2 linked regions of the Notamacropus eugenii genome follow. The protein of the gene in region 1 binds, or shares a complex with, the protein of each later gene. Links are inferred from orthologs where the notes say so. Each region holds a gene or a part of one and is shown in the gene's direction. Other genes may lie near its edges.

Region 1 (16,298 bases):
TTTCTCTCTTCCTGTCCCTCCCTCCCCCTCTTTTTCCCTCCTCTCTCCCCTTCTCTCCTTCTTTCTCTGTGTTCTCTTTTTATCTTTTCTTCCCCTCCCTCTCTCCTTCCCTTCCTCCCTCTCTGTCTTCTCTGCTTTCCCTCTCTTCCTCCCTCTTTGTCTTCTCTCTTTCTCTCTCCTTTCTTTCCCTCCCTCTCTGTTTTTTCTCTCTTTCCCCTTCCTTTCTTCTCTTTCCTCTGTTTCCTCATCATTTCCTTTGGGTTTCATCATAACTATGCAGATGACTCCTGGATCTAACCCCAGCTCTCCCTAGACCTTCAATCCCATATCACCAACTGCCTCCTGGATATCTCATATTGGATGTCCTAGACACTTTTCTCTTTCCCTGAAAACCCAGCTCTGATTAGTTTCCCTACTTCTGTCAAAGGCACCACTCACCTTCCAGGCTCCAAGTTTCAAAACTTCAGTGCTGTCTTCAGCCCTATCCTCTCTCTCTCTCTCTCTATTTCCAGTCTTTCCAGTCTCTACTTTCACAATATTTCTTGTCTCTACCCTGCTCTTTACTCAGTCACATTAGTTTATTCATCTCCATCTTCCCTATAGCTTCCAGAATGATTTTCCTTAAGAGCAGATCTCACCCTGTTACTCTCCTACTCAATAAACTTGAATGGTTCCCTAGCACTCTTAGGAGAAAACTACAATTTCTATTTAGCTTTTAAAGCCTTTCACAGCTGAGCCCCTGTCTATCATTCCAGACTTATCCTACATTATCCTTCCCTCCATACTCTGGGCTACAACCAAACTGGCCTTCTTTCTGTTCTTCCCCATCAGCCTGCCATCTTTTCCACACTTTGGCATTGGCTGACCCTCGTGCCTAGACTGTATTTTCTTCTCCCCTCTGGCTCTTGGAAGTCATCATTTCTTTCAAAGCTAAGCTCAGGTGTCTCCAAAGATCTTTCCTGATCCCCTCCCTCCCTGCTAGAGATCTACTCCCAGACTCCCTTACTTTATCTGTTTGTACACTTATTGCCACCATTAGAATGTCATTTCCTTGAGAGCAGACACTGTTTCATTGTCTTTGTATCCTTAGCACCTAACACACTGCTGGGCACCTAGTAGGTGCTGGTTAAATGCTCATTGATGATCTCACAGTGTTCCTGTGAAATAGGCATTATTAATACCTCCATTTTGCAGATGATGAAACAGATAGGTGATGCAACTTGCCCATGGTCACACAGCTAGTAAGTGTCTGAGGGAGAATTTGAACTCAGGTCTCCCCAGTACCTAGTTTAGCACATCACCTTGCTGCCAATGAAAGCTCAGGTCCATGTCAAAATAATAGAGATCAATTATCTGGCACTTTATACATATGACCTCCTCTGACCATCATGACCACTCTGTGGGAGAAGCTACTGCAGGTTAATTACCATGCCCATTTCACAGATGAGGAAAGTGAGGTTGAGAAAGGTTATGTGATCTCCTAGTGAGTATCCTAACAGAAAGATCCTGGACCTGAGTGTGAATCCTAGCTCTGTAGCTCCTTAGTTGTGTGACCTTGAGCAAGTCACTTGCTCTTTCTGCCAAGGGACTTCCTTTTCCTCATCTGTTTTATCCATACATTTTATTTTCCCCAGCCACCTAGCTCAGCATTTGGTGGAGAGTTTAATAAATGTTTAATGAGTTGAAGTTTCAAAATGGGGGTGATAATATCTGCGCTACCTGCCAGCTTATTCTGAGGAAGTAACAGGGAAACAGCAGGACCTATCCTTTCATTTGTATAGGCTACTCCCAGGTGAGGAAATCTCCTTTACCCATGAAAGTTGACACTTTTTCTGACTGGCAATCATAAAGTTACAGAAGTTACCTAGATTACTGAGAAGTTAAGTGACTTACCCAGGGTCACACAGTGGGATCTGAACTCAGGTTGTCTTGGCTCTGAAGCCAGATCTATGTCCATTCCACTAGAGTTGTTAAACACAGCTCTCAGCCATATATGACCCACTGCATTCCCAACACTCTCCAAATCGGATTGAAATGGAACTGGGAAATATTGAACAAAACCAAATACATCAAATATAGATAACATTGCAAACTAAACCAATATGTGGCCCATGGGAATCCTTATGTATGGATGAGTGGCCTCAGTTTCTCCTTGGGTTTGACCCCCACTGTATTCCTCTCTCCCATAATGGCTCCTGATTCTGAGGAAATTCAATTCAAATCAGTTCAGTAAGAATTTATTAAGAAATATGTGGAAGGTATTACAGGAAGTAATGGGGATGCAAAGACAAAAATCAACCAGTTCTAGTCCTCAAGGAGCTTACAAAGTACAAGAGACACAATCAAAGTATGTATACCAATTAGCAAATACATAAAATTTGGAGGCACAAGCAATAACAAATAAGGGAATGAGGAAAAGTTTCCTTTGAGAAGCAGTAATGAGCTGTCTTAAAGAGAAACCCAAGCTTTCTAAGAGGAAATGATGAAAAAAAAGCTTTGCAGGCATAGGATACAACCTGGACAAAGGCATGGTGGTGGGAGATGGCACCTCAAGTAAGGAGAGCAGCAAATTGAAACTTTAATGATTATTTTCTTGTTTGAAAATCAGAGAGCTTTGGGGCTCTGATTCATCATAGACCAGACAGGAAAAGCTGTTTCCTCACCACACTACTTCCTCTTTCTGTTCTCAATTTCATTTAACTTCTCTACTTCTAATTCCTGTAATCCTATTCTCTTCTTGGACCACGAGTCAAAGACCTGGGTTTAGCTGTGTGACTACAAGGAAATTAATTTCCCTCTCTGAGACTCTTCTGGTTTCCTTGGGCATAGTGTGCTTTTCAAAGTTATGGGGAAAGTTGAGAGGATGTTGAAACACAGCATTGTTGTTTGAGGGCATCTAGTCTAACCCTTGGCGCTGCTAGGTGGTGCCATAGTACACTGGGCTTAGAATCAGAAAGACTCATGTTCCTGAGTTCAAATCTGGCCTCAGACACTTACTGGCTGGGTGACCTTGGGAAAATCATTTTACCCTGTTTGCCTCAATTTCCCCATGTGTAAAATGAGAAGGAAAAGGAAATGGCAAAGCACTTCTGGATCTTTGCTAAGAAAACCCCAAATAGAATCACAAAACAATCTATGTCTTTTTCCTCCTCTTTTCTCTTCCTCTTTCTTCTCTGTTGTCTTCTTTCTCTTTCCTTCTCCCTTTTGTCCTTCTCCCCTTTTTTCTCTATCTTCTCCTCCTTCTTCTCTGGACCTGTGATACCATCACTATGGAGGAATTCCCTGTGCAACAACTTCCTTCAGCTATTCAGATCAACATTTCTTCTGTAACTTAGAGTCAGAGAATGGACCAGGGTCACAGAGAAGTTAAGTGACTTGCCCAGAGTCACACAGCCCATACAGAGATGGAATATGAATCCAGGTTTTCTTGACTCCAAAGTCAGCTCTCTGTGCAATAGGTCAGCTTGCCTTTCACAGATATAACCACATGTTTGGAGACTGTGCCTGTGATTTCAATGGTTTAAGGATCTCCCTCTGCCGATGCAGATTGGAGCCTCTTCTGCAGCTCCGAGATGTGGTGTGATCTACCCAGAATCATACAACCAGTATAAAACATATACTGAGTCAGGATTGGAACCAGGGCTTCCTTACTTTGAGGTTGGGTCTATCCGTTGTGCAACACTGCTGCTGTGTGGTTGAGTCATTTCAGTTGTATCCTACTCTCCATGACCCCATTTTGGGGTTTTCTTGGCAAAGATACTGGAGTGATTTGCCATTTTCTTCTCCAGCTCATTTTACAGGTGAAGAAATTGAGGCAAATAGGGTTAAGTGACTTGGCCATCGTCACATGGCTAATAAATATCTGAGGCTAGGTTTGAACTCAGGAAGATGAGTTTTCCTGACTCCAGGCCCAGTGGTCTGTGCACTATGGCCCCACCTAGCAGCCCAACCCTACTACTAACCCTGTATTAATAATGCAGGTAAGTCCCTTCCCTGCATCCTTGCCAAGTGCCATCTAGTCTTTGCTGGAATACTTTCAGTGACAGGAGATTTACTACCTCCCAAGATAGTACAATCTCCAGATGGGTTCTGATTACTAGGTAGAATCATTGGATGGAAGTGGTACCTGTCTGTTCCCATCCTGATTCACTCTCTCTTCTGCTCTTTCGCTATTCCTTTGTCTTTTTTTAGGCTGTTCAGCCTGGCCATGAAGTGTCTAATAGAGCTCTGCATCAGGGTCCATCAGCTAGAACTACATCCCTGGATTCTGAACTTGACATTGGGTGGATGGAGGCTTAGGCTGGCCCCAAGCCCAGCTTCATCTTCTCTGCCAGATGCAGTTTCCATCTGATAAAACCAGAACCTCATTTAATGGAGTTGATTTGGCTCCATGAGGATAGTTTGATTCGAAAGGAGCCGGCAGTAACTCATCCTGCCTCCAAGGACTGGGAGGAAGAGACGATTTACATAAATCCTTCCTGAGCTTTGTCTCCCCTTCTGTACCCCATCCAAGATTTCTAGAGGCTGCTTTATCTCTGTTGGAGCTCAAGGAGTGTTCTTTCTAAGGCTGGGAGGGCCTTTGACAGCAGCCAGCAGGAGTCCAGGATTGGGAAGTCTCCCATCAGCCTCTGGTGATCCAACCACCCTCCCACCCACCCCCCCCAGCCCTGAGGAAATGGGGGGCTGACTGTTGAGACCCTGGCCCAGAGAGATAGAGAAGTTAGGCTTCTGACCTAGAGAGGGGAGTGGAATGCTGGGAGGAGGCAAAGAGTGAGCCATGAGGGAAGATAGGGAGAGCAGAATGGTTAAAATGTTCTTTTCTGGAGAGAGGGAAGGGTGTGCATTGAGGACCAATCCACTCGAGGAGGGGTGGGAGCAGGAGAGCAGGCGCTAAGGCAGTGTGAATGGTACATCACATTGGGCATCAGGAGAAGCAGGTTCTGGTCTTGTCTCTCCTATTGCCTGTGGGTAACTTTGGGTAATATTTCCTTCTCTGGGCCTCAGTTTTATTAGCTGCAAAATGGGAATATTAATCCAATCATAATTTATCAATCAAATATTTATTGATGGTCTAAATGTACCAGACATTGTACTAGGCACTGGAGATTCAAGGAAAAAGAATAAACCATCCCTACCTGTAAAGTGCATATATGATGCGATAGCAGATAGACAAAGAAGAAATAAGAATATTCAAATATTTTAATTACCTCATTCAGTCCTTACAACAACCCTGGGATGCAGGTGCTATTAGTATGTCCAGTTTACAGGTAAGGAAACTGAGGTAGGCAGCGCTTAAATGACTTACCTGGGGTCACACAGCTGAGGCCAAATTTGATTTCAGGTCTTCCAGACTCCAGGTCCAGTGGTCTGCCCACTGTGCCACATGGCTTCCTATAAACAGAAATTAATAAATTCATATGTCTACACACATGTTTGTGAGGCATTCATTATATGAGGTGTACGGAAGATACAGAGACAGATCAGAGGATTGTTGGAATCCCATTTTGCAAAGGAGGAAATGGGGAAGTCCCTAGAGGTTAAGGGCCTTGCCTAAGATTGTATAACAAGGGAATAGAAAAGGGAGAATTTGAATGCGGGTCTCCTGATTCCAAAGCTAGAATGATTTTTATCACCCTCAACTGACTCCTGCCCTCAATGAACTTATATTCTTGGGTGTGTGTGTGTGTTCAAATGTGTGAATGATTTATGTATATGTGTGTATGTGTGTGGGTATATATGTGTGACTATACCGTGAATATATGCATATATGTTCATATACGTGTGTTGTGTTTATGTGTGCAAGTATGTGTATATATGTGTGTGTGGATGTGAGTTTGTGTATATATGTATGTATGTATCTGTATATATATGTGGGTGTGAGTTTGTGTGTGTATATATGTGTCTATATATGTTTGTGGGCATGGGTGTGTTTGTGTTGTATGTGTGTCTGCATTATGTGTCTGTGTGGGTCAGAAAACATCTATACAACATCTGCCTATAGTAAGTCATAACTGGGGATGTGATGGAGGCTGGCCTCTTCCTGTGTCTTCCCAGAATCTTTTCCTTCAGCCTCCTGTAGCGGGACTTGCCTCATCCATTTTCCCTCTCAAAGCTGGGCATTAGAAGTGGCCAAATGCTCTCCTCTGTGCCTGCTCTGCCCACCCCTCCTGCAAATGGGCTTTGGGACTGTGACAACATAACTAAATACAAAATGCCTATATGCTAATACAAGACAATGTTGAGAGACAGCAGGTGCTAATAACTGAGGGGTCAGTAAAGGCCTCACGCAGGCCCTATGACTGGGAAAGAAATGTAGGATGATTGGACCATAAGTCTGGAGCTGAGAGTGGCCTCAGACATCATCTGCTCTTATTTTAGCCATGGAGAAGACGGGAAGAGAGACAGGAAGATACCTGCCTAAGGTCACACAGTAATTAAATCATAGGTTTGTAAAACCAGAGCTGGAGGGGCCCTCAGGGAGCATCGAGATCCTAAGGTGGCCCAGGTAGCAGACAATAGAGGTGGATTCCCTGGATCACTTATCTACTGGGGTTGCTGTGAGACCTCCATGAGATAATGTATGAAAAGTCCCATAGGTTTGCCAGCTCTCCTGAAACAATGTGGACCAGCCAGTCTCCCCTTCATCTCACCTTTGTCCCAAGCATTTAGTGTGGTCTTTTTCCACCAAGATCTTGGGTCTCACATCTGCATTGTTCTGTTGGTTTGTTTCACAGATGCACAACTCACCCTCCCCTCCCTCAGTCCAACCAGTGTCTTACAAATGACAACCAGTCAGTGTGGTAGTATTTTCAGTTTGAAAAGGAGACTGGATTGAGAGTCAGAAGCTTTGCCCCTACTACCTGTATGATCTTAGGCAAGTCACAACCTCTCTGCGTTTCATTTTCCTCTTCTGTAGAAAGGGGTTGACCTGGATAACTTCAAAGGATCCTTTCAGCTCTAAATAGAGCATCCCAGGACCTGACTGTCCCATCTCACTGGATCTCATTGGATCCTCAGACAGAGTGGAAGCTGATGGATAGATGAGTGGGATTATTATATTCATTTTCAGAAGAGAAAGCCAAGTCCCAGAGATCTCCAGTGACTTACTCAAGGTCACACAGAGAGTTGATAGCAGAGCTGGGACTACACCTTAGCTACTCTAAGCTCTCTTGCAGCACTGGTGCCCCTGCTATGGAATATCCCATTGTTCGTATGAGTGAGAAGGAAGGGTTCTGTGGCAATGGGAAATGCCGCCTTGTGGTAGGGCTGGCTACTAAAGCTACTAAGTGTGCAGAGGTTCATCACTAGATCATCCATGGGCCGATCCATTTCAGTAATGCCCTCAGGTATTTTTGATATGTCTGCTAACTGGGGGCTCAGAGCAATTGTGATTAAACTCATAATTAAAATCAAGTCCCTAAAGCTGGAGAGAACCACATGGACTACATGGGTCAGTCTATTGCCTTTCTTTGTATCCTCAGTATTCAGCACAGTCCTTGGCACACAGCAGACACTTAATGTGACTTGAATTGCTAACAATCATAATAGCAGTCATAATTCTAGACTACTTTGTGGCAGGTTTTTAAGAGGACATGGAAGAGAGTTGCCCAGGTTGGGTGGGCAGGGATGGACTGAGGTAGGCATTATGGGATGGAACACCCAAACTGATGAAGTTACAGATCCATGTATAGTTGTATATAAGTGGTTGTACATAAGAAGAAACTGGTTAATCATGTTGTCAGGGTTGTGGAGGGAGAGGAACACTATTACATAGTTGGTAGAATGGTGAGTTGGTCCAACTATTCAGGAAAGCACTTTGGAGTCAAGTGAAAAAAATTGCCTACACTGTCCTCACTTTTTGCCCCTTAGATCCCCCTGCTAGGCATATACCCCAAGGAAGCCACTGATACAAGGAGTCTCCATGTCTACCAAAATATAGTCAAATCAAGTCAACAAGCACTTATGAAGCACCTACTGTGTTCCAGGCACTGTGTGAAGTTGGTGCTCATCAGTTGAGGAGTAGCTAAACAAATTATGGTACAGGAATGTGATGGATTTAGAAATGACAATATAATGAATACAGAGAATCATAGGAAGACCTGTAAGGACAGATGGGGAAGCTGGGTGGTGCAGTGGATAGAGAGCTAGGCTTAGAGTCAGGAAGACCTGAGTTCAATTTCAACCTTGGACACTTACTAACTATGTGATCCTGGGCAAGACACTTAATCTCTGTTGGCCTCAGTTTCCTTACCTGTAAAATGGAAATAACAATAGCACCTACCTCCTTGGGCAGTTGTAGGATTAAATGACATAATAATTGTAAAGTACCTAGCACATAGTAAGTCCTATATAAATGTTAATTATTATAATTATTATTAAGTAGAGCCAAGGGGGAAAAACATACACTAGCACAATAACAAGGATAGAATATCAAGACTGACTACCACAAACTGAATACCATCAAATTATAACGGCCATGAAGAGAGAGGAGAAAACACTTCCTGTACTTCTTTGCCAAGGTGGGGGACCATGGGTGAGGAACACGGCATACGATGCCACCTTTTTTTTTTTTTTTTGATGAGTTGGCTAGTTTTGTGGATCTGGTTTTTTCTTGCTCTTTTTTAGACTTTGTTACATGGATTGGGAGCAGAGAGAAGGGAAATGTAGATAATTTAAAAAGGCACAGGTGCAAATTAGTTAGATTAATCAGCACAAAAGGGATTGGTACGAATTAATTTAATTAGTACAAATTAATTTTTTTTAAAAAAGAGTAAAGAGTAAAGTCCTTCAATGCGCCCCACTCCCTCCCTAGCCTAGAAAGAAACACCCTCCTTGTGTGCCCTTTAGCCTTGGACTTCCTTCTCTTCCCCAGTTCTGGAAGCATAACTGGGCAGTAACATCACCCTCTGCTATTTTGGGAGTGTGAAGGTTTGGTAAGCAGGAAGCTGGGCAGGAGGGGAAGGTCTTTCACATACTGGAAGTCTCACCTCTAGCTCTTCTATCTACAGTGGAAACTTGTGAGCTCTTTGGTCTCTCCCAGGACAAACTCCTTGTGGGTGGAATCAGTTGGGAACATTTTTCCATCTCTACTCCTCCTACCCCATGCCCTGAATATTTCAATATAAGCCTACTTTTAACATCAGGTTTCCAAGAATTCCTGTTCCGGGCCTGTAGCCAAACACACAATGTTTGAGGATCCTGGACTGTGTTAGCAGAGTCAGAATGAGACTCAGCACCTTCTCAGTGCTGTCTGGAGAATTATAATGTAAGTACATCGATTCCATTTTATGTAATGATCGCTCATTTAGCACCAAATATATGCCAGGGAAGAGGCAAGGAATCCTAGTGGATAGAATGCCATCTTTAGAGTGAAAAACCCCCAAACCTGGGTTCAAGTTCTGTCTCTAACACATGCTGGCTGTGTGACCCTGCATGTCACTTGCATACTCTTAGTTGCTACAAATAAGGCTGCAAATTGTAGAATAGGTGTTGATCTAATTGCTTCCTCATTAGGTGCTTCCTCATTAGGTGCTGCATCCACCCATGTTGCTGTAGATTCCTTTTCAAACAATGTGTCAAGTAGAGATGCAGAGAAAAAAAAAGGAAACCTGGAGCCTGCATGCTACTGTGGATACAATGTGTACACAGAAAAACAAATGAAGAAATAGTAGAAACGAACAAAAAGTATACAGTCATCTCAAGTGGTAGGGAAGGCTTCCTGTTGGGGGGGTGGGTACCAGAGCTGGCTTTGGAAGGGATTTCAGAGTTCCAAGAGGTGATGAGTGGTGTTGTACAAGAAATGATCAGTAGTTAATTTGACTGTAGATGAGACAGATAGGATCAGATTTACAGCCAGAAGGGAGCTAGGAAGACCTCTTGTCCAGTCCCCTCATTTTAGAGGGGAGGGCAAGGTGTGGAGAGAAGCGACTTTTTCCAAGAGAATTTTAGAATCACAGAATCAAAAGCTCTTAGAATCCCAGACTTAGAGGTGAATGGGACCTGAGATGTGGTCTAGTTCAGTCTTCCACTCATCATAGATGTCTTCTCCATAACATCTTTGATGGTTGCTTCAAGAATGGACAACTCACTATCTCACCAGGCAACCCATTCTGTTGTTGGATAGACCTAATTGCTAGAAAGGACTTTCTCATACTATAGGGAAATTGACTTCCTTGTAACTCTTGCCTTCTGGTTCTAGCTCTTTCCGCTGAGGCTGGGTGGAATAATCTTTTTCAAGTGACAGCTCTGCAAATATTTAAACAAGTTATTGAGTAAGTGACCCCCATACAGAAGATGATTGGCAACTAGATGGCACAGTGGATGGAGTTCCAGGCTTGGAGTCAGGAAGACCTGAGTTCCAATTTAGCCTCAGACACTTACTAGCTGTGTGACCCTGGGCTAGTCACTTATCCCTGTTTATCTCAGTTTCCTCATCTGTAAAATGGGGATAATAATAGGACCTAACTCCCAGGGCTTCTTGGAGGGACCATTGAGGTAAGAGTTGTAAAGTTCTTAGCACAGTGCCTGGCATTTTATAAACGGTAGCTATTATTATTGCAGTATAATCTTTAGAGATTAAAATCAGGAAGCACAAAGAAAGAAGGAAGCCAGCATTTAGTAAATGCCTACTATGTGCTAGGCAGTGTGCTAGGTGCTTTGCAAATATTATCTCGTTTGCTCCTCACAGCAACCCCAGGAGGTAGGTGCTATTATATTCCCATTTATAGATGAGGAAACTGAGGCAGACAGAGGGTAAGTGACTTGCCCAGGGTCACACAGCTAGTACATGTCTGAGGAAGGTCTTGTAGAGACCAAATCCAGCACTGCCTCTCCGTAGACAGGGACATCTCGCCATAAATTAGATGAAAATATCCCAGAGAAGACATGGCCTGTTGGCAGCAGCTGCTTAGCTAGCAGCGCGTCTCTGACCTTTGTTCTAAAGACCTTCATGTCTGGGACTGAGATTCTCCTGCTAGAGATGACAAACCTTGCAGTCAAGACGCTGAGGGGAACAAACTAGGTCATTCAATAAGGAAAAAGGGCAGGAAGCTACTTCTGCAGGGGGAGTTTGGTGGATCCATTGACTGAGACAATGAGGTAGAGGGGACAGAGATGATCTGGGAGTCTGCACAACTTGGGTTCAGGTCTAGCCTCCAGTACTTTCTGACTGTGTTACCCTGGGCAAGTCACTGCCCTCTCTGGGCCTCAGTTTCCTTCTCTGTAAGAAGAATTGGTTGATCTTGATGGCCTCAAAGATCTGTCTCTTCCAAGTTAAAACCTGTGATCCCTTAAAATCCCTCCTCTTTCCACTCCCCTAGCTGAGAACAAGGGGAGAATAGGAGAAAAATGGGGAGGGAGTATGTTGTTTTGCTGACTTCACTCTTCTGGCTATATGGGATGTGCTTACACTGAGGCCCACCTGCAGGAATGGGAGGCCCCCCTACAGAGGAGGAAGTGACTGAGTTCCTTGTAAGAGCCTGCAGATTCCTCCCCCACTCCTCAGAGCCCACAAGCCCAGTTCTCTGTCATCCAATCAGCCCCCCTTCCCCCACCGAGGGGGTCTCTAGCCTGCTGTGGGAACAGCTCCCAGCCATATGGCAGTGAACTGTGGCCTCATCCTTCCCCCTTCTCCCCTCACGCTCCCACTCGTGCAGGGCTCTGCTTTGCTCTGCCCTGGCCAGTCACCTGGCAAACAGGGGCTGTGCCGGCCTCTCACCACCCCAGCCCTCAGCCCACCCGGCATTGGGTCAGGAGGGGGGAAGCCAGCCAAGTTTCCGGGCTCACCCCTTTCCAGATGTTTTTCCTGCAGAAGGACGGCCCGCCCAAATCCCACCCTGGGAACTCTGCTGTCTTAAAAAAAAAAAGCAGCAGGCATTCAGTGGGTCTGGGATTGTGGGGCAGGCAGAGCCAGCTCTGGGGGAAGAGATGAGGGGCTCTGGTTTACTTATCCTGCTTTTGTCCTAGACTGGAGCCACCCCTTACTCCTGGATGAATGGATGGATGGAGGTCTGGATGAATGGCCACAGGAGGCTGGAAAGCTGGATGGACAAGATATAGTGGCAGCACAGGACGGAATCCAACGGCTGACAGTTGGCACCCTCCTTCTGCCGGGAGGCAGGTGCTGGGCATCACAGACAGCTGTTGTGTAGAGCACAGTGTGGAAGGTACTAAGTTTTTCTATCAATTTTCTTGAGAGGGGATAGGAGGAGGGAGAGAACATGAGGCCCGATCTTGGGCCCTGTAGTGCAGTGGGAAATGGGGGGCAGGGCAGGATTTGGAATGAAGAGATGTAGGTTTCAGCCAGTTTTTGGTTCAGCTGCTTGCTAGCAGTGTGACCTTGGGTAAGTCACAGCTTCTTTGGTTCCCAGACTTTTCATCTGTAAAATGAAGGGTATAGATACTGAGTTAAGAAAGGATATGGAAGGCCTTCTCATCCAACCCAATCATTCTTAAGATATGGAAAATGGGGCTTAGGGTTTAAATGATGGCTGAGATCTCCTCCTGCTCAAATTCTATTAGCCTATGAACCAACTTCCTTAAGGTCAGCTAGTTACCAGAATATAAACACATCTTTAACATCAGCTTGAATCATAAAAATATACTGATCATAAAGGCAAATAAAAATAATCATACACCTGAATATATAAAATGTCTTGATATACATAATAATATAAAGTATAAAGGAATCTAAATTATCTACTGTTGTAGAATTTAGTGATGGAAGGATATTTAGAAATCATTTCGTTCTGCACCTTCATTTTACAGATGGGGAAAACTGAGGTTTATAAAGGGAAATGACTTGCTCAGGGTCATGGAAATAGCAAGTAGCTGAGACTCCAAATAAATCTCCTCTTAGGAGTCAGATCTCTAGTGGTACGCAGATCTGCCTTTGATTAGGCTGCTTTGGAGACAGCAAAGATACACAATATGTTGCCAGGCTTTACTCAGGACTTATTTGGCTTAGTAGGACCTGATGGAACTTCTGATCATGGGCTTGGAGACCCCAGGCTAGTTGCTCAAGATAAGTTTTGTGGAATTGTTGAATCAAGTGGAAGTTGGGGAGGGGGCTGCGTGTTGTTTTGTATGAATTATGCCAAGGTAATGGTGCCCAGAAGCCGATTCCATTATATTTTGGATTCTGCTCTTATTGTTTCTAGCTCAATAAAATAATTTTTTTTGGGGGGGGTAATGTAATTGGGATGGCACTGAAGAAACAGATTAGTTTAGGTAGAATTGTTTTTTATTATACTGGCTCAGTCCACCCATGAACAATGAATACTTCTCCAATTATTTAAATCTGATTTTATTTGTATAAAGTGTTTCATAATTATATTCATATAGTTCCTGGGTTTGTCTGGGCAGGTATACTTCTAGGTATTTTATATTGTCTATGACTATTTTAAATGAACTCTCTCTTACAATCTCTTCTTGCAGGGTGATAATATAGAAGTACTGATGGTTTATGTGGGTTTATATTTTGAATTCTTACACTAATGAATAGTGCAGTGATAAAGATTCTTAGGACATAGAATGTCACAGCTGGGAGGGGCCTTAGAACAGGGGATGTCGGAACTGAAAGGGGCTTTAGAACAGGGAATGTCAGAGCTGGGAGGGGCCCTTGGAACAGAGAACACAAAAGGCCAGAATAGGAAAGACATGAAGAGATCATGTGCTTCATACTTTTCATTTTGTAGGTGAGGACACTGAGTTCTGGAGACAGTAAATGACTAGGATATGTCACGTGGGCAGTCATGACAGACCTGAGGCTGGAGTCTGAGTCTCTTGCCTCCTGGCTGAGTCCTTTCCCCATGATCTCTCACCGGAATGAGACTATCCTTGCCCAGCCTCTCTTTTGGCCATTGGCATCAGGACGTAGGGCCAGAGCATTTATGATGAATGACCTTTTGCCCCTCCATCTGTGGCCTGTGCTGTGGACTGAGGCTTTCTGGGTTTTGCTTCTGTAAGCAGTCCCCAGGCTTTGTCAGCAGTTCCAGATGACAAGGTACGGGGAGAAGTGAAACTTATTTCCAGGAAAGATTCATCCTCGGGGATGCCCACAAAGCTTTGCGCATTGGGGAAGAGGGACTTTTACTGAATGAAGAAATGAATGAATCAACAAGTAGTTATGAGATGCCTGGTGTGTGCCAGGCACTGTGCCAGGCACCAGGGAAGAGAAATATCAAAGTAAAGCCAGTCCCTGCCCTCAAGGAGTTTACCCGTTCTAATAGGAGACAATACATGTAGGGCTGGGCATAGGTAGGATAGGTAGCATTTTGGTTAGCTCAGAGATGGTGAGTGGAGTCATAGGGCAACTCCCTGCCACATGCTTTCTGGTACTAGTGGTAGGATTGATCTGATTATTGTTCCCTGATTGAGAACAAGAAGTGAAAAGTAAGAGAGGGGGCCTGTGTTTGGGGTGAATGTTCCATGTGCCATATGCCACCCCAGACTCCAGTGTCTTGGTGGGTGGTTGGATGGGATATGAAGCATGATCTGGGGTGGGGGTGTCCTGGGGCCAGCTCTATGGCTCAGGAGAGCTCATTGGTAAAATTTCAAGGTGGGTACCCTTCAGAAAGTGGTACATGTTACAGTTGTCCTGATGGATAATTGACCAGTGTGTGAATCATGGTCTGGAATCCCCTAGATATAGTGGGTTAGGTGAGTTAGACTGGGGGCTTCTGGTAGCTATTTTCTTGGATGCAGATATGCAATTGTAGTGAAAAGAAAGGAAAGTGTCTTTTGATGACTATGTCACTTGCTCCGTGTGACCTTGGATAAATCACTTCCCTTCCTAGATGACTGACCATCCTTGCATGTAAAATGACACCTTTGGACTCAAAGGTCAATTTCAGTTTGGGCATTCTATATTCTTTGATCCTTTATATACCATGTTTTATGATTTTGGGTCCAAACTTAAGGTGACTAATCTGAATGTTATCTGAGAAATTCTGTCATTCAAGCCAAATATACCTTAGAGTCTCTTGGATGACCTTTCTTCCCCTGATCTCCAGGAGGTCAGGCAAAATGCCAGGAATTTCTGCCAATTGGCAGGGCTTACTGCTGTTGCCCAACCTCCCACCTCCCTCCTCCTAGGGCACAGTCCCATGCCCTCTGCTGTGTGTGTGTGTGTGTGTGTGTGTGTATGTGTTTGTGTGTATATGGTTCCCTCCTTCCTCCTTCCACTGTACCTTGAGATAACCCCTGGACATCTCCATTCATTAAACAAACATTTATTAAGGGATTATTACTAAGGCACTGTGCTAGACACTGGGGATTCAAAGACAAAAACTAGTCTCTACCCTTAAGGAGCTTGTCTAGGAGGTTATATGGCAATTCCTGTTCAGGGAGGCTCTGGATTAGATGATCTCTGAGGTCTTTTTGGGAAATAGCTGAATTTACCAGAAATGAGGCAACTCACCAGCTGCTGTCTGCCTGGGGATTCTCAGGGTGATAGGTCATTGAGCCCACCAAAGTCCTCTGTCCTGGAAAGGAGAAGAAATCATGGCATAAATGGTTAAGTGGGACCAGAGAGCACCTGAGGTTTCAATTAGCAATGATGCAGAGTATATTTAGTTGGAAGAGCCCTTAGAACATGAAATGTCATTGCTCGGAGGAGTCTTAGAACACAGGACATAGGATATAGACTATTATGGTTTGAAAGGAATTAAGTCTGTGACAAGTTGGTGACAGAAGTAGGTAAGTATCATTAATCTCCTTATGCCCAGACCTCCATATCCTGCTGCATAGTTAAGTTCTTCTATTCCTTCCTTCATTTATTTATCCTCACTTTCTAAGAATGTTTTCATAAACCAAGAATGAATTTTGAAGATTCAAAGATGACCCAGATCCCATTGTAGCTTTGAACACAAATGATTGACATCTAGATTTATCTTTTTCATTCTTTCTCTTTTTCTTCTTTCTCCCTCTCTTTCTTCCTCCCTTCCTTTCTCTTTTTTTGCAAGAGAAGATTCATAGTATAGAAATGCTGAACAGCAGACTGGTTCATCAAAGAATAACAATTTCTCCTTGATGTTTGCTATGCATCAAATGACTCAAGGCAGATTGGGAGATCAGGGAACCCACAGGTAAAACTTTATTTCCACCATTAGCTCACATAGAATGATCATAGGATCATGGATTTGGAGCTGGGAGGGATATCAGAGGCTACTGAGTTCAAACTCCCTTATTTTTCAGAGGAAAGAATTGGAGAAGTGAATTACCCAGTCACTGAGTTATCAGGCTATGATGTCATTTTCTTTGACCCCAGGTTTAGCATCTTCTCTATTCTGCCATATTGT
Region 2 (16,083 bases), on another chromosome or scaffold:
TGAATAACAATCATAAGTCATTGCTCTAATGGATTTATATCTGTTTCCCAAACTACGTTATCCCTTTCTCACCCTGCTCAATCTAAAAGAATGAGCTACACATGTGATAAGTTCAAACACTAACTTGAATTTTTATGTTCGTGTAATGAATTCAAATCAAAACTATCATTTAACTTTCAATGCCAAATATTACCAGAGGCTACCTACCTCTAAGAAAATTAGACTGAAATTCTTTTCCCCAAACTGAGGATGTCTCTGATTTAGTCTCAGTAATTAATTCAGTTAATTGTTTTAATACTAATTGCTTTTACATCATTTTGTAACATGTAAAGATCTCATTCCAGGTTGGGACCTTTGTCCATTACCCCAAAAGAGTTTTAGTCTCATTTGTCTAAAGGCCCTGGAAAACCTCACCTTGAAAACTCCTTGGTTTTTTCCATGTGAACCGGCTCTCCTAAGGTCCACTCTATCACTATGCCCAAGTCTATTCTACTTCCCACTCTTAATTCTATCAGTCCAAATCTCCAGTTTATTGGCCACTCCCATCAAGGCCATTCCTGGAGCTCCCAGACCACCTGGGCTCCCCCCCCCTTTTTTTGTAAGGGATTCCTTTCCCTGAATCCCCCTGTAAATAAAATACAATTACAGTTAACTTTAAATCCCAATTTTGTTCTATGTACCAATGATACAACACCTATTTATTCCCATTAAATTTTAGAAAGAATGTTCCCAGGGATTTTATTTACATCTTAGATCTTAAATTTGCCCAAAAAAGCCAATCACTGAAGATCATTTCTTATACATTTTCAAATTCTCACCAAAGCAAGTTCTATATACAATCTCCTCAGCTGTTGGGGCTGTACTTGTTACTAGCCTGAGGACTGCTTCTTTCCCCCACATGTACACACAGTGTACCAGCTTTAGGTTTTAGCATTAGAATTACAAATGGCAAACATAATTTCCATAAGTGATAACAAATTGTTTTACCTATGAACCCGAACAATAAATTTCAGATGACATCAATTGCATTTTCATATCCTATTAGAGAAACTAAATTCTTTCCACTTTTGTAACTTACAAATACAAACTGGATAGGTAGGCCTTCCAAAAACCCATACAAAAGATTTTACAAAGTATTTCTTAATACAACAAATATTTCCTCTCACGAACAGTTTACAATTTATCACAATCCCCTTGAAACTAATTGACAGAAATCACAAGAAAAGACCTAAACCCAAAGCCTTTTCACATTTGCCCATAAACTTTCTTTTACAAACATAACTTTAGAGTAAATGCTTGATTCATGGCAAAAACAATTTTAGCTAAAATTTCCTTTTCAACAGCAGAAAAAAACTTTTAACATAATACATCCTCAGATGGAACAGGCTTGAAAATCACACACATGTATATATACATGCACATTTTTAAAGCGTTCTCCTTTTCTTAATAAGAATGCTACAACAAGGAAACTGTTGCAAAAAAATTCATAACAGCTCTTTTTAACGAATTCATTAATTAACTGAACAATGCAATTTCTAATACAATATTTAGATGAATTACCTAAAAGTTTAAACTTATTTAAGTTTACTTAAAACTTAAAATAAGCCATTAACCTATTCAACTCCTTTTTTGTATAACAAATATAAGTTTCAAATTATCAAATTTCTGTCACATCTTTTTAAAACCCCAATCTATATGTAATAAATTACAAAATTTAAACTCATGTAACAGTTACATTAGATTAATGTTGCATATAACAAATACCTATCCTTTTGTTACTGATCTAACATTTTTGGCAGAAATGCTACTGGGTGTCTCTGCCCTCCTCTTATTTGTGCCAGGATTCCCAAGGTCACCCCTTTCTGGCCTTCCCACTCTGCAAAGAAAAAGAAAAACCTAAACTTATTATCTTTTTACTTTAAATACATTGTCTGGCATCAAATATGTTGATCTAATTAAACCTCAATTCAAAACTCTCAGCTCTAAGTGCTTACTTGAGATTTTCTTTTACTTTCTAATCTTCTGCTTACTTCCACCAAACTTTAATAAATTCTAACCTATCTGAAACATTATATTAAGAATGACACATTTCACCTATTCACAATTCCAAATACAATGAGAATGAATTCAATTAACTTTCTGTTATTTCCCATCACACTAAAATTTCTTTGGGTGAGGCAGGAAATGGTTAAATGCCTGTTAGCATGCCTCTTTGGTCTGGGGGACAAAGATAAATTCCCTCCCTCCCTTTTGTATTTCTTTCAAGTCTTCTGATTACACAGTACCCGTGCTCCTCTCATCATCTCTACCTGCTTAAATTCTCTTTCCTTTCCCTCAAGCCACTTTGAAACTGCACATAATTTATTTCTTTCTACTCCTAACCTGACACTTCTCCTACATTCTTTTACTTGCTGTTACCAACCATATAAGCTGAACAGTAAAAATTTGTTTTTTTTTTTCCTTTCTCTCCCTCCTTTTCCCTCTGCCCCTCTGAAACTAGTGTGGAGGGGTTGAAGAAAGGGAGTAACAGGAATTTCAAGGACAGTTCAGCTCAGCCTTTCTGCTCCTGCTGGCTGGCTGGCTAAATTTACAACCTTATCAGATAAAAAACAGAGACACACAGACTTTCATTCAGACAGAAATACCAACACAACATATACAGACAAAACATTTAACAGAATAGAATAGTACATATAGGTTTAAATTTTTGGCAAACCCAGTCCTCGGAGGAACCATATTTGGGCCAAATTGTGCCTCCTCCTCTGATGTCTTTTCACCCCATATGAAACAACAATACTTAATCATCTTCTTCTACATTCTTTTCTCTATAATTTGGTAATTCATGCCAATTTTGTAATCAGTTTCCCAAGGGACTGTTTACCAGTATTTCTTCCTGACTCCACTCCGAAGCTTGATTCTTGGACTGCTTCTGTCTCATTTTGGATGAGGGTTGTCACCAACACCTCTGAGTCTAAGACTCAGTGAATTATGCTAGCTCCCCTGCTAGCTCTCCTGCTAGCTCCCTTGCCAGCTCTCAGGTGGGGGTCACTCCCCACCAGCAGTCACCCGGCAAGCGTTTTTGGGGGGGGCCCTTCACCCTGGGGTCCCACAGTCCACTAATTTGGTTGGGAGATGTCACCTTCTCCCCGAGTCTATCTAAGACTCAACGAATTGACCCCCAGACCCCCCCCCCTCCGCCCCCCGCGCTTACTGCCGGGTCGTATATGCGTACAAGTTGCCTGACTGCAAACTTCAACACCAACTGGTTGGCATTTTTACACACTTCACAGCTTCAGAGTCTTTGGAGTCCTTATCTCTATTCTTTTCTGTCCTCACCAAGTTCCTCTGCTTCTGGTTGTTACTTTGCAGAGAGGGAGGCCCAGAAGCCCTTTTCAAGGACCATGGGGGAAATCTCCCCACGGGCACCCAGTCTTTGAACTGAGCTGCCAGCCGTCTCTCAGAAAGGTCACAGATCCCAGGTGAATGCCCCCAAACTGTGTGGGATGGCTCAGGTCCCTACATAAATCAATTACTCAGAGGCCTCTCAAAGTGATGACAGAAAGTTTATTTACTAGATTCTCGAGAATTGGGACAGTCCTACACCAGTTCATCTGGAATAGGAAAGACAAAGACAAAGAAAAGGCAGTGATTTATATAGACCCTAACGCAAGTCCCTCCTCCCCTACTGACCATTATCCTCATTAGCTGAGAATATGATCTTACATTCTAGACATGAAATCTAACCAATCCCTTTTGAAATGAAGACATCGAGGAATTATGTAAGTTTTATCCAGACATTGAGACCCTAATACACTACACAGTTTTATATCCTTATATGGAACTATTCTATTCTAAAAATATTGTAACCTTGAGCCTCTAGGTCTTACCTCACCCCTGGGAGAAGAATTACAATCTGAGAAGTCTTTACTAAACCTATCCCACTCAATAGCTTCTTATCCCCAAGAGGAATCTTCTTTTGGTTTTCATCCCAGTCCCAGCCAGGGTCTCCCTGCCCTTGGGAAGTGATGACCTACAACAAAGGCATGATTAAGTTTCAGAAGAAGAGGTCAGTGTGACCTGTGATTCTCAAGTCCAAAAAACTTTAATTTTCAACTCTTCCCCTCAAGACTGCTTGAAAATACAGATAACCATTGTGAATCAACAGTACCCAAGTCAGGAAGGAGACCTTCATTTACTCCTTCATTTAACAAATATTCACTATATGCTAACTAAATATTAGGAACTATACTAGGTGCTAGAGATAAAAGGAGGCATAGAATACAGAACAGGGATCTTTTTTGGGTCATGGAACCCTTTGGCAATCTGGTGAAGCCCATGGAAACCTTCTCAGAATAAGAGTTTTAAATGCCTAAAATATGTAGAATTACAAAGGAAACCACTTCGTGAAAATAAAGATAGATGTGTGTGTGTGTGTGTGTATACATATTTTTCCCTATCCACATTTACATACATCCTGAAATCCCTCAATCCTTTGGGAGTCAGTGGATCCCAGATTAAGAACCACTGACGTAAACCCTGCCTTTACAGAGGTCAGGGAAAACAGGTACACAAAGAAATATGACACACAAGTGTGAAGTAAATGCAAAGGAGAAGTCCAAGAAGTTATGAAAAATATAATTAGCAAGAGATCACTCATCTTCAGTCTGAAGGAGTGGGAAATCAAAGAGAGTGAGACTTCATGAGAAGGTAGTACCCCAGTGAAGAGGAAGTCAACAGATGAAAGTAGAAGGTAAAGGAATTCTTTCTTGGTACTGGGGACAGAGATAATACATGAGGACAGGGGAAGGAGAAGTGTCCAACTTAACTGAAGAAAAGGATTATGTCATAAAACTAAAGTAGGCCACAGTCAGATAATGTCTGACTATACTTTCTGGGGTAGGTAATGTGGAAGAACTGAAATTTTTTGAGTAGAGGTGTGATGACATGACGAGAACAGTGCATTAGGACTATTACAAGTCAAGTGAATGATGAACACTTGGAAAGCAAATAAGCCAGGTGGATTCAATCCCATCTGGAGTTTTCTTCCTTTTCTCTGCTGGTCAGTGCTGGTGGCCAGCATCCTTGAGCTACTGGGATAGAATCCCTTTCTGTATTTCTCATTTCTATTGCTACCAGTCCAGGAAGTTTCAATTCCCCTAAATTCTTCTGCCCTAAAGTATGAATACTCCATCTCCCCATTTCCTTTCTCTCCATCACCTAGAACAGAGAATGGTTCTTTAAAAAAAAAAAAAACTGCTTTAATAACTTGCCTGCTAGAAGGAACCTTAGATCTAGTCTATCTAATCCAACCTCATTATTTTACAGATGAAGAATTTAAGGCCCAGAAAAAGTATGAGTAACTTGCCCAAAATCACAGAGGTAGTTTTTATCAGAGCTGAGATTTGAACTCAGGTCTTCAGATTCCATGGCATGTGTTCTTTCCATGATGAGAATCTGCCCCTAATGGAAAAAGGATACAATAAAAACAAACATCAGAATCATCAAGCTACAGGCAATGAAGAGCTATTCTAGCCATGGGGAATGATTAAAAAAAGAGATCTGTGAGGCCAGCTACTCACTGCTCTGCCTCAGAAGAAAGGCCCTGAGCTCACCTAATTCCCTATCACATATAATATAAAACCCCATCCTCATCTCTGCAGCTTTGGGTTTTGCTGATTACTCTCATTTCTTGCACATTCTTTCCCCTGGGCTTTCATGACATAGTTCTTTCCTTGTTCTCCCCTTGCCTGTCTCCCTGGTCTCCTTAGCTATCATCATCCAGATCTCACTCAGTAATTGTGGGTTTTCTCGAGGCTTCACCTTGGAGCCACCTTCTCTATATACTCTTTTGATGATCTCATCCATTCTCAAGGATTCAATTATCATTGCTATGCAAGTGACTACCAAATCTATACCAACAAGAAGGAAAACTAGGGTAAGGTTTGCCGGAACTTTGCCGCAGGGCACTGAATTTCAAGGTCACTGATAATGTTGACATTTCTTCCACTTTGGGGTGAGTTCCTTCCTTATCCTACCCTGCTTCCTACTCCCTTTCTATCTTGGGCATTCCACTTGTCACTTCTTCGATCTCTGTTCCCTTCCCACTCTAGCCCCAAAATGAGAGTGTTTTTCCTGCTACTTGTTGTAAGCATGTACTAGATACAGCTCTAACTCCTGCCTTTATCTCTCTTCTGAGTTCTGGTCCTGCCCAGTTTCCTGCTGACTGGAAGTCAACTTACTGTTGACTGGACTTGTCTTGAAAGCATCTCAAGCTGAATATATCTAGAACAAAATTTATTTTCTCCCTTCCTTAAACTTCCTTATTTCTGCTGAGGGTGTCACAATTCTAGTTAACCAGATGCACAATCTCAAAGTCATATTTTACTTTTTCTTGTCCTTGACCTCTCATATCCAAACAGCCACCAACTTTTGTGAATCATACTTCCGCAGCATCTTTTGCATCCATAACCTTCTCCCTCACACTATTCCCTACCTTAATTCAGGCCTCATCACTTCTCCCATTGGTCTCCAAGTTTCTGTTCTGTCTCTATCCAATCTACTCCCCCATAATTTTTAAAATAACCTTTCTAAATAAAACATACATCTGTTGTTCAACAACCTTCAGTCTCAAAGATTAAATATTAATTTTGAAGCTTAGTATTAAAGTCTTTCACATCCTGACTCAAGCCTACCTTTTCAGACTCATTCATATGACTCCCTTACTAGAAGCCATCTCACAAGTGTTCTGCATGTTCAGAATGCGTTTGTCCTCACATCCATGTCTTAAATGTCTTAGTTACTTCAGGACTCATGGCCTATGGAACTTCCAGAACACCCTGGTTATTAATGCATTGCCATCCTCCAAATTACACTATATTTACTGTCACCACTAGGTTGTACTATTGGAGTGTACAACTGCCTGGCCAGTCCTTTAAATTTTAGTCTACAGTCATCAGCAGGAGCCAATGCCATTCTTGTCAGTTACTCAAAAGCTCTGCCTCCTGGACTCTTAAACCATCTAAAGCAGGGTTCTTAACTCTTTTATGAGTGTCATGGACCCTTTTGCCAAGTTGGATAAATCCATGGACCACTTCTCAGAACAATGTTTTTAAATGCATAGAATAAAACACATAGGATTACGAAGGAAACCAATATATTAAAATACATTCTGTAGACAGCAAAACTGCAATCACCTGCCATGTAATGGTGGGGCTAATAACTATAGTCATTTCAAAGCAGTGATGAGCATAAATGATATTTCAAGATATCTGCAACAACTGTAATATGATGTGAAAATGTCTGTGATTTTTATTGGTATTAGTACTTTGTCACAATACTATCATGGTCATTTGCCTATATTCATAACTGGAGGAAAAGATTTCACTTAGAAGTTAGTGAAATTTAAAAATACAAATTTTCCTCATCCAAGTTCATGGGAGCCCTCAGGTCTACGTGTACATGGACCCTAGGTTTAAAAACCCTGATCAAGAGATATGTATGCAAATTACTCTGTTAGCTTGTACACCCACTAGATTCTTTCACAAGTCAATCAAAAGCTTCTGCCCTGTTAAAGATCATTCTCTTAGTAAGCAGTTTATTTATATTAAATAAATGGGTGGCAAAATGGTGCTTGAATGTAACACAGATAACCAGTTTCATTCACTGCCAGATTCAATTCTCCTGGCATTTCTTTCCACTCCCCACCCCTACCCCCCCACCAAAGGAAAATATTCACTTGGGGCAGCCTTTCTTTTCCCATCTATGGCAGCATCCCTAGTCAGGGAGGGTCTAGATCATAGGACCATAGGAAGTGAGTATCAGATCACAAACACTCCAGCTCTCATGCTACAGCTTGGGACACAACGAAAAACAGTCTAATCTCAAAATCAGGGCAGCAGCTTGAAGTCTGGTAATCCCCTTTCAACTCTGTGATTTCATCTGCTGCTTCCTTCCCAGGGGCAACCTGAAATATCTTTTCACTCTTTCTGTGGTCGTTTTAGTTACTGCCCTCTACTGCCAGACAACTTGTCCATTCTAGAAACCTAGCCCTCCTTGGGAAGTGTAAATGTTTATATTTTCCTGAGGCAGCGTGGTGGCAGGGAGGCCAATGTGGCTGCTGCCTTTTGTCCCCCACTTCCACCCTCAAAAATTTTAGGGCAGTCCTTTGTCTGACCTCTCACCACCCCTTATTCTATCTGTTATCCACATCAACCTCTGAATCCAGAGGGCCAATGAAACTATATCTGTGTCAGAGAGGCTGACACAGCCTTCTGCCTTTCTTTGTATCCCCAAAGTTTAGCACAGTACTTGGCACAAAGGAGGAGCTTAATAAATGCTTACTGACTATTGAATAATTATTGTGGTTGTTCAGTGGAGTCCAATTCTTTGTGACCCCATTTGGTGTTTTCTTGGCAAAGACCCTGGAGTTGTCTGCCATTTCCTTCTCCAGATCATTTTACAGATGAGGAAACTGAAATAAACATGGTTAAGTGATTTGTCCATGATCACACAGCTAGTAAGTGTCTGAGGTCAGTTTTGAACTCAGGTCTTCTTGACTCCAGGCCCAGCTCTCTGTCAGCCTTGCCATCTAGCTGCCCATAAACCAATTAGGACATAAGTAAACTAGTCAACAACCTGTGCTCAGAAAAGGGAATAGGAAGGCAGAAGTCATCTAGAATTGAGACTCTCAGTTTGCCATGGTGCTTCTACCAATAATTTCCATTGCTGCTCCTGGTGGGATTGAGAGGGAAAGAAAAATCCCCTTTCCCACTCCCCTTCTTTGCTGCATTCTTCCTTCACCGTGTGCTGGGGAATCAAAAGAGAGAGCTTGCTCTTACTAACTACACTATTCTCTGTCAAGAATCTGTCCTTCTCCCTTTCTCCTTCCCTCTCTGCAAGTGGCATAGAAGTGCCCCCTTCTGACAAGAGTCCAGTCTAGGAGAGTGATGGTAAATGCTTAGCACAGGGCCCTTCAAAAGTATACTTGACACATTTTAAAGTTTAATCAGCATCATTTTCTTAAGTCTAGAGAAGACAATCAATTAAACAATAAAACAAGTCCTGATTTGTAGTGCTTGCCAGTTTCTGAAGTGTGAATACTCACTAAAAATTTAGCAGCTCCTTTTCATAAACTGGTAAGAGTTGGCTTCAGTACACTCCTGGTGTAGGCCCTATAATCTCATCAAGTTGATTGAGGGGTTCATGAGCGGAAGTTCTTCTGATCAATCTCCCATTATAGCAAGATGTCACTGTATTAGCAAGGAGACTAATGTGTCTCTTCTATATCCTTTATTTGTATAAATGTATCCTTATTACCCACATAGAATGTAAGTTGTTTGACGGCAGGGATTGTTTTCTATCCCCAGTGCTAGCACAGAGCACATAATAAGGGTTCAGTAAATGTTTATTTTATTGTCAAATCAAGGGATCCATGGCTCTAGAATGAACTTTCTGACTAGATATGTGTGAGACCCAGCACTGGCAATTGAAAGAGGCAAGAGATGTTTAAAGGCAGCCCTGTCTAGAAGCAAGGGGAGAGACCATATGGTCTTTGGAGGGTCAAGGTCTGGACTACGCAAGGCTGAGGGGTGGCAGCATTTACCCCAAAGGTAGGTCCTTTGGACAGGATACCCTACTTTGATGGCTCAGTCTGGTGGAAGAGCTCAGCTAACTGCCTTGACTGAGGTCAGGCCAGCTGGCCAACTTCCCTGGACTTGGATGGGGGAGGGTGTCAGGGAGAATGGAAGAAGAGGAGGTTTGAGGGGTGGGGTAGAGGCCTGGGACTGCTGCATGGGAGACCATTCTGGATCCTTCAGGGTTAGGGCAGAAAGGCACCCTAGAAATTGTGGGAGTAGGGACCTAGAAGGATTGGATGGTGGTAATGGGGGGGGGGGGGAGAGTCATGGAGCCAGAGGTGGGAGGAGATGGGGGCAGAGACCAGATGCAGGGGAGGAGCTGGGGAGGCGGAGGTTGGGGGGGGTAAGGGGGAGGAGAGGCAGACTGCTACCGGGAGCTTAAGAGGAGAGGTCCAGAATTCCCAGCTAAGAAGAAGGTGAAATGGGAGAGCGGTGGAGGGGAGGGAAATGGGAGATGGACAGGAGGGTGAGGAGATAGAGGTGGGTCAGAGGTAAAGGGAAAAGCAGATGCCAAAGTTCAGTTTTCTGTTCCTCTTAGCCTGGGGGTTATACCAAGCTTTGGAACTGTTAAAGGGTTTGCCACAGTGGAGCTAGTAGGTGACCAGAGAGCAGGGGAAGTCTGACTCCCAAAGGTCAGAAACTGGGAGGAAGAAGAAAGAAACAGAAGTGATTTGGCCTCAGAAAAAAGAGGGGGAAAAGGAGGCCTTTAGGGGAAGGAGTTAAACTAGAAAAGAGCCAGTGTCGGTTAGGAACCAGGAGGCTCTGCAAGGGGAAGACGAGCTGGAATCTTGAGATCCAGATTTCTTGGGTTGGACAGCCCAGCAACAGGCCCCAGCATGCTGAGGGTTAAGCTCCAGCTCAGCCCCTCTTCAGGATGTTTACGTCCTCCTCAAAATATTCATCTTCGGTGTGAGCCTCACCTCCGGTCCCTCGATTCTCCTCCCTCCCCCACAGGCCTTTTCAGTGCCAGGGGCCAGGGGGGTGGAGCAAGGACCTCCCGAGCGCTGGGAAAGTCCAGGGCACTGACCTGACCCCAGAGGAGGGAGGGAGAGAAGGGGAAGGGGGAGGATACTGGGTGGAAGGGGTTGGGGAGGGAGACTGAGCTGAGAAGAGGGGAGGCATGGGAGGAGCACAGAAGGCAGAATGGGAGAGTGGGTGGAGGGAAGATGGAGTCTGCTTCCCGGCCTCAGGAACTTGGCCCTGGCTCTGACGTCATTTCCAATTTCTGGGAAACTTCAGAGAGTAGCTCTTCCCAATATGTTCTGCTGGGGAAGGGAGCTACAAAAGAGAAAACTAGGAAGGGAAGGAAAGAGAGCCAGCTAGACAGCACCCACTGCAATGACACTTTCAGGAAGGACTCATAGGAGGTAGCTCTCCCTTTTCAGTTCCCACCCTAACCCTACCCCCAGGCTTTGATGGACCCAGAACTGGGAGAGGCTGCAGTTAACCTAGAGAAGCAAGCTGATGAGGAGGGACATCCCAGGCTGGTGCTAAACAAATCTAACTAAATGTCCTATACTATCTGCCCCTCTCTTCTTCTATAAACCACTCCCATTACCCTGATGTGGCTCAGGTGGTCCTAGGAAATGAGCTACAAAAGGGCTCGGAGATCAATCACCCCTCTTCATTTTATTAATTAGGAATCTAAGATCCAAGTGAAAGGACTGGCCAAGCTTATCCAATTAGCGGTGCTGAGCTTCAAACCCAAGTCCTCTGCCTACAAATCCAGGACTCTTCCCACTGTGCCACATTTCTCTTTGTTCTGTTAAAGGTTCCCTGGTTGTTCATTTTATTCTGATTTCACTTTCTTTTTCATTTAGGGTAGAGTATATTTGTCTCCTGCTCCCCAATTCCCTAGGGATGGCCCCATCTAAGGCCACATCGACCCCTACCCTCCCAATCCAGTTATTCCTTCACTTCCTGAGCCCTGCTTCTCCCATACAACTAAAGGATGAGCCCAAGGGCAAACCAGGACCAGCAGTAAACCATGACATTGAGTCTGAGTGACAGAAGAGACAAAGATGGAGTAGGGGGTGGAGGGAGGGTAGAGAGTATGGGATTTGGCTGGTGGAATCTAGCTCTCACGGACACAACTTCATTCCATGCAGGTGCCTGTCCTGAGTCCAGTTGACTGTGATGTGCAGAAAAGAAATGAGGCAGTTGCTGTTGCCCTTGGCCCTGTGGCTTAGTGCCCTGGGGCCCACTGGAACCAGGGCAGATGAGCTCTCAGTGCCACAACAACGGGGCTTGCAGGTGGCTTTGGAGAAGTTCCACAATCACCCACCTGTGCAGTGGGCATTCAAGGAGATTGGTGTGAACAATGCCAGTGACATGGTGGGTGGGAGGGACCCCTTTGACTGCAATGAGGGTGGGGGGATATATTGCAAGAATTCTCTACTTTGCTCTAGGAGGGGTGCATCTGGGGTTCCACCCCAGAGATGTCAGTATTTCTCTAATAGGCAAGGATTTCTTTTGGTTTGGTTTGGTTTTTATTCAAAGGCATTTAATGAAATAACATAGTAAAAAAATAGTCACAACAGAACCTTATCTCACCCAAAGCTGGAGCACACTTTCTCATAGAGACACAGACTCTCCATGGAAATAGTGAGCACACATGTGGAGGACATATGGCCAGGGCACATGTATGGAGAAACAGCTCATATCTGCTATTGCTGTAGGACCACTGACAGCTGGTGATAGCATCAGATGCTCAGGAGGCAAGTTGGGAAGTTATTTGGAATTTATAAGCCTCCAGATGTCAAGAAAAGATTATAGGATCACAGATTAAAGCTTAAGGAGCCTTAGAAGTAATTTAGTCCAGTGGCCTCATTTTATAGATGAGAAAATCAAAGCCTACAGAGATATTGTGTTGTCCAAAATCATAGATAATATGTGGCAGAGCCAGGATTTGAACCCAGGTTCTCTGGTTACAAATCCAATATTCTTTCCATTGTACCATACTTGGATGTCATCTTCTTATAGCCAGCTCACTTGAGGGATAGCAATGCAATATAGTTGGGTAGGAAGGTGGTGTAGTGGACAAAATACCAGGCTGGAGTTAGAAGACCTAAGTTCAGATCTGGCCTCAGATACTTCCTAGCTGTGTGACCCTGAGCAAATCACTTAACCCTGTTTGCCTCAGTTTCCTCATTTGTTAAATGAACTGGAGAAGGAAATGGCAAACCACTCCAGCATCTTTGCCAAGAAAACCCCCAAAAAGGTCACGAAGAGTTGGACATAACTGAAAAACAGCAAAACAACACTGATGATTCAATGTAGTGCCATATAAAGCAGTACAATGCAACCAGCATTTATTAAATGCCTACTGTTTACAGAACAATGTGCTAGGCATGGGGAGGTGGGGGAAAGAATTGGGTGGAAGTAAGATAATGCCCTTAACCTCAATGAAGCCTACAAGGTACAAGATAAAGGAGGGGAGCTGGTCACTGGTTCACCTTTGTGTCTTATCCTTAGTCATTCCCTGGAGGAACATTTGTTCGACTGGAGTTTGGACTCCAGCAGACCAGCTGCCGAAAGAAGGACTGGAAGAATGCTGAGTGCAAGGTTAAGCCTAATGGGGTGAGTGAAAATCATTTCCCCTCTGCTGTGTGTGTGTATTTGTGTGGTTTTGGGAACATAGATCTGAGTCTCCATGTCCTTATAATGAAACATGTCTGGGACAGAGGGATGAATGAATGCCTGCATATATAATGGATCCCTATGTCAAAATGTGAGTACATATGATATGAATCTGTGTCTGTATATTGGTATATGCCTTTAGTGTATTGTGTATACACAGTGGAACATATGTCTTTTGTGTATACCTAGAAGGGTAACAGGACTTGCACTGTATGTGTATGAGAAATGTATGAGAAATGGAGGGGGGTGGTCTGGATAATAGAACAGGTGCCTCTTTTGTGTGTCAGAGAGACAGAGCATGAGATGGGGAGCTATGGGAACATGTGAATCTTTGTGTGGCTCAAGGGAGAGGAAAAATAATGAGAAGGTTTGAGAACAGAGATGTCATCTGGGAAGGCAGGGCATTGGGAGTCAGTGGGGAGGGGTACACAGACAGCTTTCTGGAGCTTGAGTCAATTTCACATGAGTCCCTTGGATGAGTGTGGGTAGGAATGAGCTTAATCTTCAAGAGTAAAGGTGAGGAAATAGGAAGGGAGCAGATTGGGTAGTATCAAACAGGTCCTGGGTAAAGTCTTGCTTTGAGGTCCCCAGATATCAAGGTTGATTCTACCTCCTGCTTCTAGAATTCAAGACATTAGAGAGACCCAAAGGAGAGGATTTGGTTTGGGATCTCCCAGGACTACGGAATATCCTAGGATTCCCTTATTTTTTAAAATGACGGTGCCCCAGATCTAGCCCACTGGATGAATCCAAGACCGAACTAATACAGACCTAAATACCAGAGCTTAATCAGAACCAATCCAGTTTAGGGGAAACTATGTGATGTAGTGGAAGGAACATTGGATCAGACATCTATAGACTTCAATTCTAGGTCTAGTCTGCTACTGACTCACTCAGTAATCACAGGCAAATCACTTAACCTGTCTAGGCCTCAATTTCTTCCTCTAAAATGAAGGAGTTGGATTAAATGATTTCTAAGATCCCAAAGTCCTAGATGGAGGAGTTTCTGGGCACCAGCTTCTGCATTCCACTTATTCTAGACCAACCTGTCATTAGTAACCCCACCTTCCCCTCAATCTCTGGTCCCCTTTAGCCAAGAAATGAGCCTGTTGCCTCTAGTGCTTTCCATTTCAGTACAGCTGACCCCATATCCCCTACCCCACCCCATAGTCAACTGTCTCTTCCCACAACAGCTCTAACCTTCCATGTCCCCAGTGTATCCCATTCCCTGATACAAATTCATCTATTATATGACCAATGTGGCATAGGACAAAGAGTGCTGGATTGGAAGTCAGAGGACTTGGGTTTGTCACCCACCTCTGCCACTTATTACTTGAGTGACCTTGAGCAAGTCATTTCTTTTTTGGGCCTCAGTTTCCTCATCTGTAAAATGAAGAGGTGGGACTAGCTGACCCCTAAGATGCTTTCCAGCTCTAGATCTATCATCCTTTGACCTATGCCCCTATGATCTCAGCGGAAGAGGAGCTGTTTGGCTTGCATCAAGTTTGATTCCAAGGACCGGATCCTGAAACAGATGATTCACTGCCCCATTGGGCCCCCGGGGAGTCAAAGGGTAAACCTTGATGCTTTGTTTCTAAGGTAGAGGGAAGGGGGAGAGTGGAGGAAGAAAGAACAGAGAAGGGAACCATGGTGTCTGAATAGCCCAGAAGAAGGTAACTGGGTGAAGAGGGATCTTGGACAGGAACCATCTGTTCCCTGAGATGAAATGGTTCAGGTATGTGGAAGGGGAGAAGGGAGGAGGGAGAGTGAGACAAGGTCAAGTCAAGGACTTGGCAGAGTAGAAGAAAGTGGTTTCCTTTTTTGACCCTGTGGCCAAGACCAAGCCTAAATGTATCTCTAGGATCCTGATGGGCAGCAGGAAAGCCAATGCACTCAAGTGGAAAAAGCTGGTGAGGAGCCCCATAGCTATTACTTCCCTGGCACATATGCCTTTTCTAGGAGTCACAACTCTGGCTGAATCCTAAGCAGGTAAGAATCTCTGGGAGGAAAGGAAAAAAAAAACTGCACATGGGTAGGAATAGCCTGGGAGGATGGGTTTAAGAACTGAGAATAAGGCTAGGATTTAGATCCAGGACTGAGTGAGGTCAAGATAGAGAACAGAGTTAGGCATTGGGAAAGTCAGTAGAAGAGATGGGAATGGAGTTAAGAATTTCTTTTTCATCCTTAACTCAACAATTTCTCTTCTCTTCAGGGTGCAACCTTGCTTTCAATCCCTTTGAAAACCAGTGAATAGTGTGAAGGCTTTCAACATCCCTCCTACCCATCAGGGCAAACACCCCCTATCCCACCTTACCTGGGAGAAGAGGCCAGACCCTGCCAACCCTGTACACAGCACTCTTGTTTCTTCCTGTCTCAAATAAAACGTGCTTCCGACTTCATGCGTTCACTTCCTTACACAGTGCCTTAGAACTAAATGGGCATCATGAGAAGGGGTCAAGGCTTAGATGAATGGCAATGACCAATCTCCATTCCTTGGGACAGATGATAAAACGTACCTTCTTTTTCTCACTAGTGAGATGGTGGACTATGGGGGGAGGAATGTGGCAGATGCTGTCAGATGGCTTAATTTGTCAGTTGGTTTTGATGAATTGTCTTTCTTTGTTACAAGGGAAGATTCTCAAGGGGGTGGGAATAATATACTGGGAAGTAACTGCACTTAAAAAAAGCATCAGTAAACTTTTAAAAGGGGCTCAAGCCTGGTTGCTGCCACTATGGTTACTTCCTTGATTTACCCCTATCCCTACCCCAATCCCACCCACAAATAGAGCAAAGATCAGACCAGAGCTCA

Evidence for each region.
Region 2: the proteins of CMKLR1 (region 1) and RARRES2 are in contact, whole or in part, in a cryo-EM structure (PDB 8ZJG), measured with the Homo sapiens proteins. The link is inferred for Notamacropus eugenii from reciprocal best matches to the Homo sapiens genes CMKLR1 and RARRES2. Residues at the interface, in NP_001135815.1 of Homo sapiens: Asp20, Tyr21, Leu22, Asp23, Ser24, Ile25, Val26, Val27, Leu28, Phe88, Leu92, His95, Tyr103, His104, Asn116, Leu119, Ile120, Met123, Arg178, Leu183, His184, Gly185, Lys186, Ser188, Cys189, Phe190, Asn191, Trp203, Thr205, His217; in NP_002880.1 of Homo sapiens: Leu34, Phe37, His38, Phe60, Thr75, Ser76, Cys77, Arg96, Leu111, Gly112, Arg113, Leu114, Val115, His116, Cys117, Pro118, Ile119, Thr133, Leu136, Arg137, Gln139, Arg140, His146, Ser147, Phe148, Tyr149, Phe150, Pro151, Gly152, Gln153.

Annotation. Positions count from the first base shown.
Region 1 is NC_092875.1:23,694,332-23,710,629, forward strand, and holds the start of CMKLR1 (chemerin-like receptor 1), read left to right. Parts: upstream 1-9,156; 5' UTR 9,157-9,265; intron 9,266-11,532; exon of another isoform or gene 11,533-11,964; 5' UTR 11,965-12,164; intron 12,165-13,694; exon of another isoform or gene 13,695-14,002; intron 14,003-14,009; exon of another isoform or gene 14,010-16,085; intron 16,086-16,298. UniProt on the Homo sapiens protein: Receptor for the chemoattractant adipokine chemerin/RARRES2 and for the omega-3 fatty acid derived molecule resolvin E1.
Region 2 is NC_092874.1:96,507,621-96,523,703, forward strand, and holds RARRES2 (retinoic acid receptor responder protein 2), read left to right. Parts: upstream 1-9,953; 5' UTR 9,954-10,051; intron 10,052-11,743; 5' UTR 11,744-11,771; coding exon 11,772-11,969; intron 11,970-13,109; coding exon 13,110-13,214; intron 13,215-14,748; coding exon 14,749-14,847; intron 14,848-15,135; coding exon 15,136-15,252; 3' UTR 15,253-15,263; intron 15,264-15,486; 3' UTR 15,487-15,668; downstream 15,669-16,083. UniProt on the Homo sapiens protein: Adipocyte-secreted protein (adipokine) that regulates adipogenesis, metabolism and inflammation through activation of the chemokine-like receptor 1 (CMKLR1). Also acts as a ligand for CMKLR2.